2 linked regions of the Anolis sagrei genome follow. The protein of the gene in region 2 purifies or fractionates together with the protein of the main gene of each other region. This does not show direct contact. Links are inferred from orthologs where the notes say so. Each region holds a gene or a part of one and is shown on either strand. Other genes may lie near its edges.

Region 1 (8,377 bases), on a different chromosome or scaffold from region 2:
AAAGAGGCTGCAGCTTCGGACAATCCCCCAAAAGAGAACAATCCACATTTGCTCCAGCTATGGATGCGTTTACACTATAAAACGGATGCAGTTTGACACCAGTTATGGGATCATCGGAGTAAGAGTGTGTCAAGGAAGGGTCAAAACTCATCTCTTCCTGCAAGCCTCCCCAGTCAATGTCAACTTGTGAATCTGAACCTGCATTTTAACTCTGTGTATCTTATTATATGTATTTTAATAGCGCTTTATCTCTTTCTTTTCACAATGTTGTACCCGTCCTGAGTCCCTCTGCGGAAGTTGAGATAGGACGGGATATAAAAGCCCGAAATAAATAAATAAATACCCCATCTCATGGGGAGGCAGATAATTTATGATGATGGTTGTTGTTGTTAGTTTAAATTTTTTTAAAAAATATCAGGAGAAAAGCACAAATAAAATATTGATACGTACACGCCTTATCTCTTTGTGTTAACAATGTTTTACCCTGCCCCAAGAAGAGGTGGGCAAATATTAGTATTAATATGATTCAATAGTTTTTTTTTAATTAACAGAAAGAAGCCACACACCAAAAAAAGACCTCACTACCTCTGAGGATGCTTGCCATAGATGCAGGCGAAACGTCAGGAGAAAATGCCTCTAGAACATGGCCATACAGCCCGAAAAAACCTACAACAACCCAGTAATTCCGGTCATAAAAGCCTTCAACAATACAAAAAACAAAAACAAAACACAACACTGATACATACACAAACACAGTCATACCACACAACAATTACATATCAGACTATACAACACATCTCTGCTCTGATCCCATATAAGTCTAAACTACAAACATAGTTAGTTACATGACCCCGGAGATTAATTTTAAATTCGTGTCCTGTGTTCTAATCTATCCTGTGTATTTCATATGTATTTGATAGAAATACATTTCAAGACGTGTTTTTATAGAAATATGTTTTTAATATGTATCTTTTAAAGAACTACATTGTAATGTATATGTTTATGGAATTTTTGTAATGTTTGTGTGTTTTGCCCGTAACATGAGGTCGGTAGGAAATAAAATTAATAATAATAATAATAAATAGAAAATTGATTTTGAAGCTGGATTTCTTGCTCTGTTGTTGTTGGCAAACAAATAATAATAATAATAATAATAAATAGAAAATTGATTTTGAAGCTGGGTTCCTTGCTCTGTTATTGCCAAACTACAATAATAATATAGAAAATTGATTTGGAAGCTGGATTCCTTGCTCTGTTGTTGCTGCCAAACTACAATAATAATAATAATAATATAGAAAATTAATTTGGAAGCTGGGTTCCTTGCTCTATTGTTGTTATTGCCAAACTACAATTATTATTATTATTATATTATTATTATTATTATTATTATTATTATTATTATATAGAAAATTGATTTGGAAGCTGGATTCCTTGCTCTGTTGTTGTTGCCAAACTACAATAATAATAATAATAATAATAATAACAATAATAATATAAATATAGAAATTTGATTTTAAGGTGGATTCCTTGCTCTGTTGTTGTTGTTGCCAAACTACAATAATAATAATAATAATATAGAAAATCGATTTGGAAGCTGGATTCCTTGGTCTTTTGTTGTTGTTGTTGCCAAACTACAATAATACAATAATAATAATAATAATAATAATATAGAAAATTGATTTTGAAGCTGGATTCCTTGCTCTGTCGTTGTTGCCAAACCATAATAATAATAATAATAATATAGAAAATTGATTTTGAAGCTGGATTCCTTGCTCTCTTGTTGCCAAACCACAATAATAATAATAATAATAATAATATAGAAAATTGATTTTGAGCTGGCTTCCTTGCTCTGTTGTTGTTGCTGCCAAACTACAATAATAATAATAATAATAAATGATTTGGAAGCTGGATTCCTTGCTCTGTTGTTGCGAAACTACAATAATAATAATAATAATAATAATATAGAAATTTGATTTTGAAGCTGGATTCCTTGCTCTGTTGTTGTTGTTGCCAAACCCCAATAATAATACAATAATAATAATAATAATAATATAGAAAATTGATTTTGAACTGGATTCTTTGCTCTGTTGTTGTTGCAAAACCACAATAATAATAATAATAATAATAATAATAATAATATAGAAAATTTACTTTGGAAGCTGGATTCCTTCCTCTGTTGTTGTTGCCGCCAAACCACAATAATACCATAATAATAATAATAATAATAATAATATAGAAAATTGATTTTGAAGCTGGATTCCTTCCTCTGTTGTTGTGATTGTTGTTCAACTACAAATCCCATGATTCCCCAGATGTGAGCCTTGACAGCTCAAGTGGTGTCAATGTAGGCAGATGGCACATCCCAAGGCCCTGATGCCCCCAGGTATTTCAGCCCCTTCTACACTGCCCATACATCCCAGGTTATTTGCTTTGAACTGCCAGATCATCTGGGATCAGATCCTGGGATGATATAGGGCAGGGTAGAAGGGCCTCCCTCCTCCCCCCTTTCTCCCACTGTCTCCCACTCCCCTGAACCCGGAAGCTTGAACCATTGGAGCAGACTTCCCTTTCACAATTCAGAGGCCACCCCAAGCCCTGGCCTCAGCCCATCCCCTCCATCGATGGGCGAGATAAGACAGGGGGGGCTTGGCTCCATCCACACACGCCCCGATCCCCACTGCTGGGGCTTACCGGCTCGGTTGTGGGGCGCAGGCGAGGCAGAGGGGGCGCCCCCTTCGATGTGGTAGGAAAACCTCATGGCTTTGAACTGCTGCGAGTAGGATCCGCTGGGCTCCGGGCTGGGCATGCCCACCAGGCTGCTCCTCTGCATGATGCCTGGGCTGCAGGGCTCCCCTGCCTCCTTCAGTCCCCCCCAAAAGCCAGCCCAGGGCGGCCCCCCAGTGTCGAGCCCCTGGCAGCCCCCATCGCCCATTAGAAACACATCCCGAGTGGATCCTCAGCATGCAGGCAGGTCCTTTGCAACAAGTCTTGGCCAGGAAGGGACCAGAGAGGAGGCTGGAGAGCTTTTCCACGTTGGAGGGTCTGCTCCTCCTCCTCTTCTTCCTCCCTCCCTCCCTTTTCCTCCTCTTCTTCTTCCTCCCTCCCTTCCTTTTCTCTTTCTCTCTCTCTCTCCACAGATCCCCCCCTCTCCGCCCTTACTCCTTGCAAGAAGGTTTGCAACCAAACCTTCCTCTGTATGTGTGTGTGTGTGTTTAAAAAATCAGGATTTCATGAGCCACACACAGCCACAAACGTCGATTGGTTCGCCTTGCCTGCCTTTTAGGGAGGAGCAGATCAGTGCAAAAAAAGGGGGGTGTCTTTCCCCTCTCTTCCTCCCCTCCCCTGGATATTGGGGGGGGGGGGGGTTGGCAATTGATTTCTTCTCACTTGGGAGGGAGCCACCAACAGCTGTTATGGGGGGGGGGGGAGGAATCAGCTCGTTTTTGAAGTCAGTTTACTTTGAGGTTTCTCCTTGTCTCCTCTCTCAAAAAAATAATATTTTGGGGAAGTCTCAAAAAGGGAGGCTTTGATCTTCTCTAGAGTTTGAATTAATTTCAAGGTTGGGGGTTCAGTCTCTCCTCACTCTTGCTTTCTTTTCCCCCTCTTTCTGCCTTTTCCCTGCCCCTTCCACACAGTTCAATCAAATCCCACATTATCTGCTTTGAACTGGGTTGGAGTTGTAGTTCTCCTACACCCAGAGAGCACTGTGGACTTAAACAGTGATGGATCTGGACCAAACTTGGCACGAATATTCCATATGCCCAACTAGGAACACAGATGGAGTTTGGGGGGAATAGACCTTAACATTTGGGAGTGGTAGTTACTGGGATTTATAGTTCACCTGCAATCAAAGAGCATGCTAAACCCCACCAAGGACAGAATTTGGGGAAACTTCCCACACAGAACCGCCAAGCATACACCAAACAACTCAATGTATGTCTTTCGCTTAAAAAATTGATTTTGTCACTTGGGAGTTGTACTGGCTGGGATTTATAGTTCACCTACAATCAAAGAACATTCTGAACTCTACCAGTGATGGAATTGAACCAAACATGGCATACAGGCAGAGGCGGCACTAGGTAATTTTCAATGGTAAGCAAACAGTATTTTGGCGCCCCCCCCCCCCCCCACCAATCACTGATATATATTTTCTGTTCGTCGTTGGAGTTCTGTGTGCCATATTTGGTTCAATTCCATCATTGGTGGAGTTCAGAATGCTCTTTGATTTTAGGTGAACTATACATCCCAGTAACTACAACTCGCATATGTCAAGGTCTATTTTCCCCCAAGAAAGCATCAAGAGCATCCCTGGGTAAAACCAACTATACTGCAAGAGCTTACTTTGCGTAATGATTGAGCCGTCCCTGCATACAGGACTCCCATGACCAAAAAAAAAAAAACACTAGAAGGGTTTGGTGGGCATTGACCTTACGTTTGGGAGTTGTAGTTCACCCACATCCAGAGAGCACTGTGGACTCAAACAATGATGGATCTGGACCAAACTTGGCACGAATACTCCATATACCCAAATACAAACACATATGGAGTTTGGGGGAAACAGACCTTGACATTTGGGAGTTGTACGTACTGGGATTTATAGTTCACCTACAATTAAAGAGCATGCTGAACCCCACCAATGACAGAATTTGGGCAAACTTCCCACACAGAACCGCCAAGCATACACCAAACAACTCAATGTATGTCTTTCTCTTTAAAAAAAATGATTTTGTCATTTGGGAGTTGTACTTACTGGGATTTATAGTTCACCTACAATCAAAGAGCATTCTGTACACTACCAATGATGGAATTGAACCAAACATGGCATACAGGACTCCCATGACCAACTGAAAACACTAGAAGGGTTTGGTGGGCACCGACTTTGAGTTTGGGAGTTGTAGTTCACCTACATCCAGAGAGCACTGTGGACTCAAACAATGATGGATTGGACCAAACTTGGCACGAATACTCCATATCCCCAAATACAAACACAGATGGAGTTTAGGGGGAATAGACCTTGACATTTGGGAGTTGTAGTTACTGGGATTTATAGTTCACCTACAATCAAAGAGCATGCTAAACCCCACCAACGACAGAATTTGGGCAAACTTCCCACACAGAACCGCCAAGCATACAACAAACAACTCAATGTATGTCTTTCGCTTTAAAAATTGATTTTGTCATTTGGGAGTTGTACTTGCTGGGATTTTTGGTTCACCTACAATCAAAAAGCATTCTGAACTCCACCAATGATGGAACTGAACTAAACGTGGCACACAGGACTCCCATGACCAACAGAAAACAGTAGAAGGGTTTGGTGAGCATTGACCTTGAGTTTGAGAGTTTTAGTTCATCCACATCCAGAGAGCACTATGGACTCAAAACAATGATGGATCTGGACCAAACTGGACATGAATAGTTCATATGCCCAAATGTGAACACAGATGGCGTTTGGAGGAAATAGACCTTGACATTTGGGAGTTGTAGTTTCCGGGATTTATAGTTAACCTACAATCAAAGAGCATTCTGAACTCTACCAATGATGGGATTGAACCAAACGTAGCACACAGACTCCCATGACCAATAGAAAACACTAGAAAGGTTTGGTGGGCATTGACTTTGAGTTTGGGAGTTGTAGTTCACCTACATCCAGAGAGCACTGTGGATTCAATGATGGATCTGGACCAAACTTGGCGTTAATATTTCATATGCCCAAATATGAACACAGATGGAGTTTGGAGGAAATAGACCTTGACATTTGGGAGTTGTAGTTACTGGGATTTACAGTTCACCTACAATTAAAGAGCATTCTGAACCCCACGAACGTCAGAATTGGTGCAGACTTCCCATACAGAACCCCCATTACCAATAGAAAATACTTAAGGCCACCAGGGCAAGAAAATGTAATCAAAGCCCTCCTGACAAAGACCCGTCCAGCCATAGATATAGATAGGATATGATTCACACACAGAGAGATGTAGTATCATAGATTTGAAAGAGACCCCTAAAGAAGGACAATTATATGTTGCATGTTCTAGAGTAGGCAACCCCATCTCCACATCAACACTGACAAAGAAACAGCAAGAAATACTGTTAACCACAAGCATAAAGAAATTACATATATTGGAAACCAATACTTTCTCATTACTTTATTTCCCAGATCACCAGACTGTGCCACAGCAACGCGTGGCAGGGGACCGCTAGTTGAATCATAGAATCATTGAGTTGAAGAGACCTCATGGGCCATCCAGTCCAACCCCCTGTCAAGAAACAGGAAAATTGCATTCAAAGCACCCTCGAGAGATGGCCATCCATCCTCTGCTATAAAGCCTCCAAAGAAGGAGCCTCCACCACACTCCAGGGCAGAGAGTTCCACTTCCACGGACCACAGCTTGGGAATCACTGATCAAAACTGTAGAATTAATGCAGTTCGTCATCATTTTAACTGCCATCTCTCAATATAGAAGCCTGGGAGTTGCCTCAGCACTCATTGGCAGAGAAATGTAAAGGCCTTATAACACTACAATACTGATGATTTCATAGCATTGATTTACAGCAGTCAAGGTGGTGTCAAACAGTACTAATTCTACATGTAGATGCCCAAAATTCCATCAGTTCAGTGAGCCTATTCTAGCTGGGATTATCATGGGATTTAGGCTGATGAATTCATCCACATTGTTTCCTCCTTCCAAATGAAGTACTGTGGAGTTCTTTTCAGGACAGTTTATTGTTTTAGGTCCCAGCATTTTCCAATTTATCCTGTAAACCCCCCCCCCCCAAAGTGGGAAGAAGGCCAAAAGAAATCTACCATTGGATCTCTAGATCAGGGGTCCTCAAACATTTTAAACAGAGGGCCAGGACACAGTTGGAGGTCCGGATCAGGCATGTAGCCGGGCATATGGGATCAGGCATATGGGATATATTGATTATGGTGATCAGATCATGATATGAATAAACATAACCGTTTAAATAATTCACCAGTAAGGCCTTTTTGCGAACCACCATGTGAATTTCGGGGGGGGGGGGGGGCTTGAGGGGCTTCAGCCCCCCCCCCCCCCCCCCGAAATTCACATGGTGGTTCGCAAAAAGGCCTTACTGGTGAATTATTTAAACGGTTATGTTTATTCATATCATGATCTGATCACCATAATCAATATATCCCATATGCATGGGGGTATTGGGGTAACAATACAAAAGGTTTGCTAGGGTAGACCCTCTTTCACTCAGACTCAGCCCCCCCGAAACTCAGCCCCCCCCCCCGAAACTCCCCCCTGAAAAAAACTCACACCCCCCCCCCCAATCGAAATCCTGGCTACGGGCCTGGTCCGGATCATAATTTGGAGAAAAAAAGTGAATGAATTCTTATGCACACTGCACATATCTTATTTGTAGTGCAAAAAACACTTAAAAACAATATAATAATAATAATAATAATAATAATAATAATAATAATATATTTATATTCCACTCTATCTCCCCAAGGGACTCAATGAAGAACAATTTTAACAAAAATAAACTTAGTAGTATTTCAGTGGGAATCATAGGCCTGCTTTTGGCTCATGAGATAGGATTGTTGTTGTGTGCATTCAAATCTTATTTGTAGTGCAAAAAAACAACAACTTTAAAACAATACAACAATAATTAAAATGAAGAACAATTTCAACAAATGTAAACTTATTAGTATTTCAATCAAAAGTGTGGGCCTGCTTTTGGCTGATGAGATAAAATTGTTGTTGTTGTTGTTGTGTACTTTCAAGTCGTTTCAGACTTAGGTTGAACCTGAGCGAGGGCCAGATAATTGACCTTGGAGGGCCATATCCGGCCCCCGGGCCATAGTTTGAGGACCCCTGCTCTAGATGGTTTGGAGGGGGGTCATCTAGGATTTCTGGGGAACCCAATCGGAATAGCAGCAACCACAGAAACTATTCGCTTCACCTAAATAAGATAAACTGAAGTAATGAGAGAGACTATCAATCAGTATTTGTACTAAAAGATTGTGATCTCACTGCAGTTACGGTACTGAAAATTGAAAAACTCTTGGGTGCAGAATATGTCCAGAAGCATGTTGTTTTTCAGTTATAAAAGTTTACACATGGGTCTGACTGGGTTTCCTAAGAAATTGCACAGTATATTGGAGAATGCCAAGTCCTTCCTCTTTCACTCAATTCCATTCCTCACTCCGCTTCTAAAAATGGTCACACACTTTTCATAATACTGTACATTTTTTTTACAACAGAGCAACAGTAAACATCTGATTTCCAGGGTTTGTTTTTCTCCCCAAATCCTTTATTCAGTCAACAATCAAGTCTCCCAGAAGTACTGGTTCTCAGGTGTCTTGTGCCAGCAGTGAATTTCCAGGCCTTTTTGTAAACTTTGTTCT
Region 2 (9,133 bases):
TCAAGTCCCAAATAATAAGCTGCATCAAGGAAACCCAGATGGCCCAGATGTGCCTCACTGTATACAGGAAGAGCAAATAATGGTCAGCCAATTTGACTAGAGGACAGCATTCTTGTGCCTGAATATTAAATGGGCACTGCCATGCCAAACACAGTGCTGCTCAGTACATCATCCAGTCTAGTCCACTTTCCTGCATCAAATCTTACTGTGCCACTAAATGCAGAACAGAAATCAGGAAAAACGTCCTGTTATGACAGAGATCCTTTATTTGGGACAGGATTATTCAATGCGGCTGACAGTGCCACTTGCATAATTCAGTCACAGGGTATCTTTTTTGTCTGTCCTTTGAAACTGCCTAGGAAAATCACTTGCCTCACACAGAAACTTGGTTCAGTTTTGGTGCTCAACTCATGAGCTCTCTCACACACATAATTCAATCTCCAAATAAAATTTGGAGCTGTGTTGTCGAAGGCTTTCATGGCCAGAATCACTAGGCTGTTGTCATATTTCCAGGCTGTATGTCCTTGTTCCAGAAGTATTCTCTCCTGACATTTCATGTGCATCTATAGCAGGTATCCAACCTGGACACAGCATATTATTTGAGAACACAGAAATGCTGGAGCACTCTCACAACTACCATGTCAAACTACACAGAGAAGCCACTGAAATCCACAGGCATGTGGACAATTTCAACAGAAAGGAAAAAACAATGAAAATGAACAAAATCTGACTACCAGTATTTTAAAAACTCTGAAATCAGGACAGTAAATAAAGAAGAACACTCAGAAAACAGAAGACTTCCAGACATGACATAATCAGGGCCAGCTAACAACTAGAAGTTTGAAAACATGTAATGTGAGTAGATCAATAGGTACCGGACTGGCGGGAAGGGCACGGTGCTCCATGCAGTCAATCTGGCCACATGGCCTTGGAGGTGTCTACAGACAACGGCAGCTTTTCGGCTTATAAATGGGGATGAGCACCACTCCCCAGATTCAGACACAACTAGACATTATATTAGGGGAAACCTTTACCTTTAACAACTCCCAACAAAGGATTCCCCCAGGTAGGCAGCATCCAGGCTTTGAAACTGCAAGTCCATTCAATGCTGATCAAGGTGGCCAATTGCAACATTCACACCTGCCTCAAACTGGTAAGAGTTTGTTTCCCACCCTGGGCATTCCACATATATATATACCACACTTGCCTAGTTTCCAACAGAACTCACAACCTCTAGGCATGCTTGCCATAGATGTGGGTGAAACGTCAGGAGAGAATGTTTCTGGAACATGGCCATACAGGCCAGAAAACTCACATCAACCCTGTATCTTGGGGCTCTTTAAATAGTCAAACATATGAGTTGCAGGCACTGTCTGCACTTGAGAAAGCCACCAATGCCAGTTGCAAGTTATGTCATCATAAATGCACCAATCTCCAATGGAAGGTGTCACGAGGCTTTGTTGTTGTTATTGATTACACACAAGCGCATTCTCAAGGGACAGGGATGGTGACATCACTTGCCAAAGCTGCTGTGCTTTTGATTTGTGTGCCTTCAAGTCCTTTCTGAATTGTGACAACCCGAAGGTGAAGGCATCACTTGGCAGAATTGGCTCAGAGGGGGTTTGCTCTTGCTTTCCTCTGAGGCTTGTCAAGCGTTACCATCACACTATGCCAAGAGGTCTGGGACTGGGGAAAAGGATAAAATAAAGTACTTCCTCCCACCTTCCCCATTCTCAAAAGATCTCTTTGGCACTTGCAGCCTTCAGTCCCACCAGAAAAGCTTCAAGGGAGATACCCCTCTCCCCTGCCATGGCATGCATCTTATGATTACGATTATGATCAAAGGCTTTCATGACCAGAATCACTGGGTTGTTGTAGGTTTGTCGGGCTATATGGCAATGTTCTAGAAGCATTCTCTCCTGACGTTTTGCCTGCATTTGTGGCAGGCATCCTCAGAGGTTGTGAGGTCTGTTGGAAACTAGGAAAATTGGGTTTATATATCTGCAGTTTCCTATTTTTCCAATATAGCCTAAAAAACCTACACCAGCCCAATGATTATGATTATTTGTATTGTCGAAGGCTTTCATGGCCGGAATAATTGGGTTGTTGTAGGTTTATCGCGCTATATGGCCATGTTCCAGAAGCATTCTCTCCTGATGTTTCGCCTGCATCTATGGCAAGCATCCTCAGAGGTTGTGAGGTCTGTTGGAAGCTAGGAAAATTTATATATCTGCAGTTTCCTAGTTTCCAACAAGACTCTTCATAAAATCATAGAACCATAGAGTTGGAAGAGACTTCATGGGCCATCCAGTCCAACCCCCTGTCAAGAAGCAGGAAAATTGCATTCAAAGAACCCCCGACACATGGCCACCCAGCCTCTGTTCAAAAGCCTCCAAAGAAGGAGCCTCCATCACAACCCGGGGCAGAGAGTTCCACTGCTGAACACCTCTCACAGTCAGGAACTTCTTCCTGATGTTCAGATGGAACCTCCTTTCTTGTAGTTTGAAATCTCCTTGCTTGTAGTTTGATGATCTATGACAGGCATCTTCTGAGGATACCTGCCATAGATGCAGGCGAAATGTCAGGAAACTAGGAAACTGCAGATATATACACCCCATTTTCCTAGTTTCCAACAGACCTCTCAATCTCTGATGATGCCTGCCATAGATGCAGGCGAAACGTCAGGAGAGAATGCTTCTAGAGCATGGCAATATTGTGCAACGATTTTGATTATTTGTACTGTCGAAGGCTTTCATGGCCAGAATCACTGGGTTGTTGTAGGTTTTTCAGGCTATATGGCCATGTTCCAGAAGCATTCTCTCCTGACATTTTGTCTACATCTATGGCAGGCATCCTCAGAAGTTGTGAGGTCTGTTGGAAACTAGAAAAATGTAGTTTATATATCTGCAGTTTCTTAGTTTTCCTAGTTTCCAGCAGACCTCACAACCTCTGAAGATACCTGCCATAGATGGAGGCGAAACGTCAGGAAAGAATGCTTCCAGAACATTGCCTGAAAAACCCACAACAACCCAGTGATGATGCTGATTGTTTGATGGCTCCCCTCTACTCACATAATGCTTGGAAGGGCTTCTCCTTTTCTCCACGTCCACCACGTTAGCATCCAGGACGCTGTAGGACAGCATCTTGGTCCCGTCCAGGAAAACCAGGAAACGCACACTCCGTCCAGATGTATCCTTGGATGTATTCCTCCAGAAGGATTTCCTGGGGTGCCTCCTCGCCCCCGCCTTTGCTTTCCTGCTCCGGTGGAGATAGGACAACCCCAAACTTTGCAGATCTTTGCAGAAGGCGAGCTTTCAATAGGCAGGGTTTGTATCAAAGGGGAGAATGTCTCCCGGCGCTGCAGGCATGCCGGCGAAGTCCTTGCAGAGTCCCTTCCAAGAGAAGCCTAGGACTGCGTTGAGGGGAAGCGCGAGGGAATGGAGTCAGTCCCCTCAGGCAGTTAGTTCCCGGAGTGTTTGTTGTGTTTGTTTATGTGTCTCTTTCTCTGGAGATGCCTGCCTGCCTTCGCTTCCCCCCTGCCTCCCTCCTTCCTTTTCCCTTCCCTTCCAATGCTGGGCTGTTTGATCTTCAGCTTCCTTAGAGAAGCCTTTGGCAACGCTCCTTGGTGCAGCTGCTGCTGTTTCTGCTGCTTGAAGGGAAGGAAGGAAGGAGGCAAAGGCAAGGCAGGGCGAGGGGCTCCTTCTCCTCGCTCGCCTCTTCGCCGGACCAGGCGAGGGGCTGGACTTCAAGGAGGAGGAGCGGAGGGAAGGAGAAAGCCGGGTCTCCCCTCTCTTTCTTTCTTTCTCTCCCGGGGCTGGGCACTCCTAGGGAAGCCCCCCTCCAGCCCGGCTCCTCCCCCTCAGCGCCTCCTGCCCGCGGGGAGCCTGAGGAGATTGGCAAGGAAGCCCGAGGGCAAGAAGGGATGCCTCCCGCCTCTGGAAAGCCCCCTCCCTGGCTACCAGGGCCTCGTTTCAGGCCGGACAGAAGCGTCCGCTTTGCGCGCCAAAGAAAAGCTCCCCGGGACTTCTAAGTCGGGAGGGAAAACTTCCAGCCTAAGGGACACCCTTGTTCCTGCCAAGTTTAGGGTGCATCTCCCGGTGACGCAATGGGTGAAGCCAGGCACCCTCAAACTCCGGCCCTCCAGCTTTTTAGGCCTTCAACTCCCAAAATTCCTGACAATTGAACAAGCTCGTTAGGCCTTTTGGGAGTTGGGGGAACAAACAGCTAGGCAGTTTGAGGATGCCTAGGTTAAACCCTTCTGCCCGCAGGACTGAAGACTGAGGTTCGAATCCGGGGAGAGCGCAGATGAGCTCCCTTTGTCAGCTCCAGCTCCCCATGCGGGGACATGAGAGGACCTCACTACCTCTAAGGATGCTTGCCATAGATGCAGGCGAAACGTCAGGAGAGAATGCCTCTAGACCATGGCCATATAGCCCGAAAAAACTTACAACAACCCAGAAGTCTTCCTTACTTAGGTAAGGATCCCTCATTGTCGGAGTAGGATTGGTGTAGTGGCGGTGGATCCGTAGGTGACTGTGGAGACCTATTCTTGATCTGCATCTTCTCCCGCCGTGAGGGCATTGGTTTCCAGATGGAAAGCAGTCCCGGTCGGGGTTGGCATGACGCACCTTCCTCTTGACACATTTCTCTCTTTCGCCCTCCATTTGTGCCTCTTTGAATTCTACAGCACTGCTGGTCACAGCTGACCTCTAGCTGGAGCGCTCAAGGGCCAAGGCTTCCCAGTTCATGCCAGAGTTTTTAAGGTTGGCTTTGAGCCCATCTTTAAATCTCTTTTCCTGCCCTCTGACATTCCGTTTTCTGTTCTTGAGTTCAGAGTAGAGCAACTGCTTTGGGAGATGGTGGTCAAGCATCCGGACAACATGGCTGGTCCAGCGGAGTTGATGTTAGAGGACCATTGTTTCAATGCTGGTGTTATTTGCTTCTTCCAGCACGCTGACATTTGTCCGCTTGTCTTCACAAGAGATTTGCAGGATTTTCCGGGGACAGCACTGATGGAATTGTTCCAGGAGTTGCATGTGACATCAGTAGACAGTCCACATTTCGCAGGCATATAGCAGGGTTGGGAGGACAATAGCTTTATAAGCAAGCACCTTGGTATTCCTACGGATGTCCCGGTCCTCAAACACTCTCTGCCTCATTCAGAAAAAATGCTGCACTCACAGAGCTCAGACAGTGTTGTATTTCAGTGTCAATTTTGACTTTTGTGGAGAAGTGGCTGCCAAGGGAGCGGAAATGATCAACATTTTCTAATGTTACACCATTAAGCTGTATTTCTGGCATTGGAGAGGGATTGGCTGGTGACTGCTGGAAGAGCACTTTGCTTTTCTCAATGTTCAATTACAGACTGAGCTTCTTGTATGCTTCTGCGAAGGTGCTTAGAGTGGCTTGTAGGTTGTCTTCTGAATGCACATAGATGACACTATCATCAGCATATTGGAGTTCTATAACACATGTTGATGTAACCTTGGTTTTGCACTTCAGTCTGCTGAGGTCAAATAGCTTTCCATCTGCCCAATAGATGATTTCCACTCCAGTGGGAAGCTTCCCATCAACAAGATGAAGTATCATAGCGATGAAAGCCCTCAAGGATGGTAAAACACCAAAACATCCAGGTGTCCCCTGGGCAATGTCCTTGCAGGCGGCCAATTCTCTCATACCAGAAGCAACTTGGCAGTTTTTCAAGTCGCCTCTGACATCGAAAAAAAAATCTCTACTGTAGACTTATTGCACTCTGGGGTAATAGTATGATAGCTGGGTCAGGAAGCTCTGAGCGTTACGGAGATGCTGCATCACTCCTTCAGGAGTACTGTTTGTGCAAAAGAGACTTAGCTAATGTAAGCCATGTTGGAGACAGATAATATAGAAGGAATGTAAGAGTTCTATAATGGTGAGACCCTAACCCTTACCCTAACCCTGAACCATATCATAAGCCTAAGCAACCCCTTACCCAACCCCTAACCCTTACCCTAACCCAAACCCTAAACTTTACCCTAAACCTTGCCCTAACCCTAACCCTTACTCTAAGCATCCCCTCCTTTCTATCCTTCCTTCATTCTCCTTGCTCTCACTCTGCCTCCTCTCTTCCCTTATTCACAGCTACCTTTGCAGCATCTCCATAATGTTCAGAGCTTCCGGACCCAGCTATCATATTATCACTCACTATGGTGCCACTTCAACTGCCATGCAGCCTGAGAGTTGTGGTTTGGGTTTTGTGTGTGTGTGTGAGGAGTGACTTGAGAAACTGCAAGTTGCTTCTGGTATAGAGAATTAACAGTCTGCAAGGATGTTGCTTAGGGAATACCCGCATGTTTTGATGTTTCTACCATCCTTGTGGTAGAGACTTGAGAAACTGCAAGTTGCTTCTGGTAGAGAGAATTGGCAGTCTGCAAGGACATTGCCCAGCGGACACCCAGATGTTTTGATGTTTCTACCATCCTTGTGGGAGGTTTCTCTCATGTCCCTGCATGTGGAACTCGAACTGACAAAGGGAGCTCATCCGTGCTCTCCCCGGATTCGAACCTCCATCCTGCTGGTCTTCAGACCTGCCTGCATCAGGGTTTAACCCATTGCACCACCGGGGGCTCCAATACACTTTGGCAGAAAAGGCTAGAATTCTCAGTGTTGAGGCCGACACCGGGCACCATAGGCTAGTGCTTCACTCAGCAGAAGGCACTAGAATCTGCTGGTTTCCTAAGGGCTCTTGGAGATCAGCTCCCAGAATCCCAAAGTTTCAGGGAACTGAAGTCCAACATATCCAGAAGACTAGAGTTTGTAGACAAAACTGGTTTAGACTCTTGGAGGGAGTTATTGGGTTTTCTGGGGGGGGGGGGGGGGGTAAAATATGAGTTCAATAATCCCTCAGTTAGCATATTATTCTGGACAATCAACAAAAAGGGAGTTTCTTTGATGGGTTGTTGTGAGTTTTTTGGGCTGTATGGCCATGTTCCAGTGGCATTCTCTCCTAACATTTCACCTTCATCTGTGACTGCAGCTTCATGGTTACCCATGCTATTCAAGTTCACTGACTGCAGCATTCACACTTGCTTCAACAGACTTGCTTCCCACCCCGAACCTTCCACAAATATATTCTGTTGCCTCACTGCCAACAGAAACTTTGAAGATACCAGCCAGATGCAAGCATAATGCTACAGGACATAATGCTACTGGAACGTGGCCATACAGCCCAAAAAACTCACAGCAACTCAGTGGTTCTGGACATGAAAGCATTCAACAACACAAATAGTTTATTCTTTTCTTGAAAAGGGTTGTAACAACATGGTGGCAGACATCATGGCATAGTGGTTTGCTTGTTGGTCTCTAGGACTTAATGAGATCAGGATTCTTATTCCCCTTCAGTGATGGAAACTCACTGGGCAATCTTGGGCAAGTCTCAGTTTCTCACTCAGAAGGAGGCCATAGAAACCTCCTCTGAATAAACTCTGCCATGGCACCCTATAATTGTTTATTTGTTCAGTCGCTTCCGACTCTACATGACCTCATAAACCAGCCCATGTCACCACTCCCAACTCCTTCAAGGTCCCAGTTCCTTCAAGAACACCATCCACTGATCTTGCCCTTGGTCTGCCCCTCTTCTTTTTTCCTTCCATTTCCCCCAGCATCATTGTCTTCTCCAAGCCTTCTTGTATTCTCATTATGTGGCCAAAGTACTTCATCTTGGCCTCTAATATCCTTCCCTCCAATGAGCAGTCAGGCTTTATTTCCTGAAGTATGCACTGGTCTGATCATGCGGTCCAAGACACTCTCGGAATTTTCCTCCAGCATCACAGTTCAAAAGTATCTATCTTCCTTCACTCAGGCTTCCTTATGGTCTAGCTCTCACATCTGTAGGTTACTACGGGGAATACTATTGCTTTAACTATGCAGATCTTGTTTGCCAGTGTGATGTCTCTACTCTTAACTATTTTATCGAGATTGGTCATTGCTTTCCTCCCAAGAAGTAAACGTCTTCTGATTTCCTGGCTGCAATCTGTATCGGCAGTAATCTTTGCACCTAGAAATACAAAGTCTGTCACTGCCTCCACATTTTCTCCCTCTATTTGACAGTTATCAATCAGTCTTGTTGCCATAATCTTGGCTTTTTTGATATTTAATTGCAACCCAGCTTTTGCACTTTCTTCTTTCACCTTGATTAGAAGGCTCCTTAGCTCCTCCTCCCTTTCAGCTATCAAAGTGGTATCATCTGCACATCCAAGGTTGTTAATGTTTCTTCCAGCAATTTTAACTCCAGCTTTGAAGGAACATAATACCAGTCCTTGCTGACCCAGTTGGAGAGATGGGAAAAACAAGGCCAGGTTAGAGTTGCCATTTCAAGACCATCCTGAACCCAGAGGTTTTCACGTTGAAACTAGAGATCGAGGGATGGCACAGGGGATACCATTCAGCATTGCTCATAAGTACTGTATCAACTGCGGGTGCTCACATCTTGTCTTTCAAAAAGAGACAGGCACCTCTTGTAATCATGCTATAAAATTTGATCAGGAGGGGGCAAGACACAAATAAAAAAAATTACTGTGCTGTGTTAAATTTTGAAACTAGGCAGCACTCTTGCTCTACTAGAATGTATAAACTGGCCACTTGAGGCAAGTAATTTTAATGCATGTTATCTCTTTTTAATTAACTAATCTATGCAGGTTATGTTTCCAGAAGTGTGTATGGTAACATTAGTAAGGTGTATGTGAAAACCTTCTTGGGCCAGGATTACTTTATTGTACCTGTTATTGATGAGTTGGCAAAGCTGGAATGAAAGTTTTTTGGGGAACATTCGTAAGCTTTAGAAAGTTAATGTTCTGAGCTAATCCTAATTTGAAATGTTGAAGGAGTCTTTCCCAGAACTGGCACTTTGTTGAGTTATGGAATTGCTCTATTTATAGGTTTAGGATGGAGCCAGTTACCTAGAGTATATACTGTACAGGATTGTTTTGGATATTAGTGGGTCATTCTGAAGGAGCCATTCTCTATGAGCAAACATTGTGCACAAAGCATTTCTTCTTTCACTGACAGTGGCTGAATGTCCTTTACAGAAAACTTGTAGGGTACTGTAATAATAATAAAGTAAAGGTGAAGGTTTTCCCCTGACATTAAGTCTAGTCAT

The links.
Region 1: the proteins of SH3PXD2A (region 2) and FGD1 purify together in Homo sapiens (affinity purification with mass spectrometry; 3 studies listed by BioGRID and IntAct, with this or other methods). This does not show direct contact. The link is inferred for Anolis sagrei from reciprocal best matches to the Homo sapiens genes SH3PXD2A and FGD1.

Annotation. Positions count from the first base shown.
Region 1 is NC_090022.1:173,375,647-173,384,023, forward strand, and holds the start of FGD1 (FYVE, RhoGEF and PH domain-containing protein 1), read right to left. Parts: upstream 3,277-8,377; 5' UTR 2,933-3,276; coding exon 2,692-2,932; intron 1-2,691. UniProt on the Homo sapiens protein: Activates CDC42, a member of the Ras-like family of Rho- and Rac proteins, by exchanging bound GDP for free GTP. Plays a role in regulating the actin cytoskeleton and cell shape.
Region 2 is NC_090023.1:213,449,306-213,458,438, reverse strand, and holds the start of SH3PXD2A (SH3 and PX domain-containing protein 2A), read right to left. Parts: upstream 3,797-9,133; 5' UTR 3,144-3,796; coding exon 3,072-3,143; intron 1-3,071. UniProt on the Homo sapiens protein: Adapter protein involved in invadopodia and podosome formation, extracellular matrix degradation and invasiveness of some cancer cells. Binds matrix metalloproteinases (ADAMs), NADPH oxidases (NOXs) and phosphoinositides.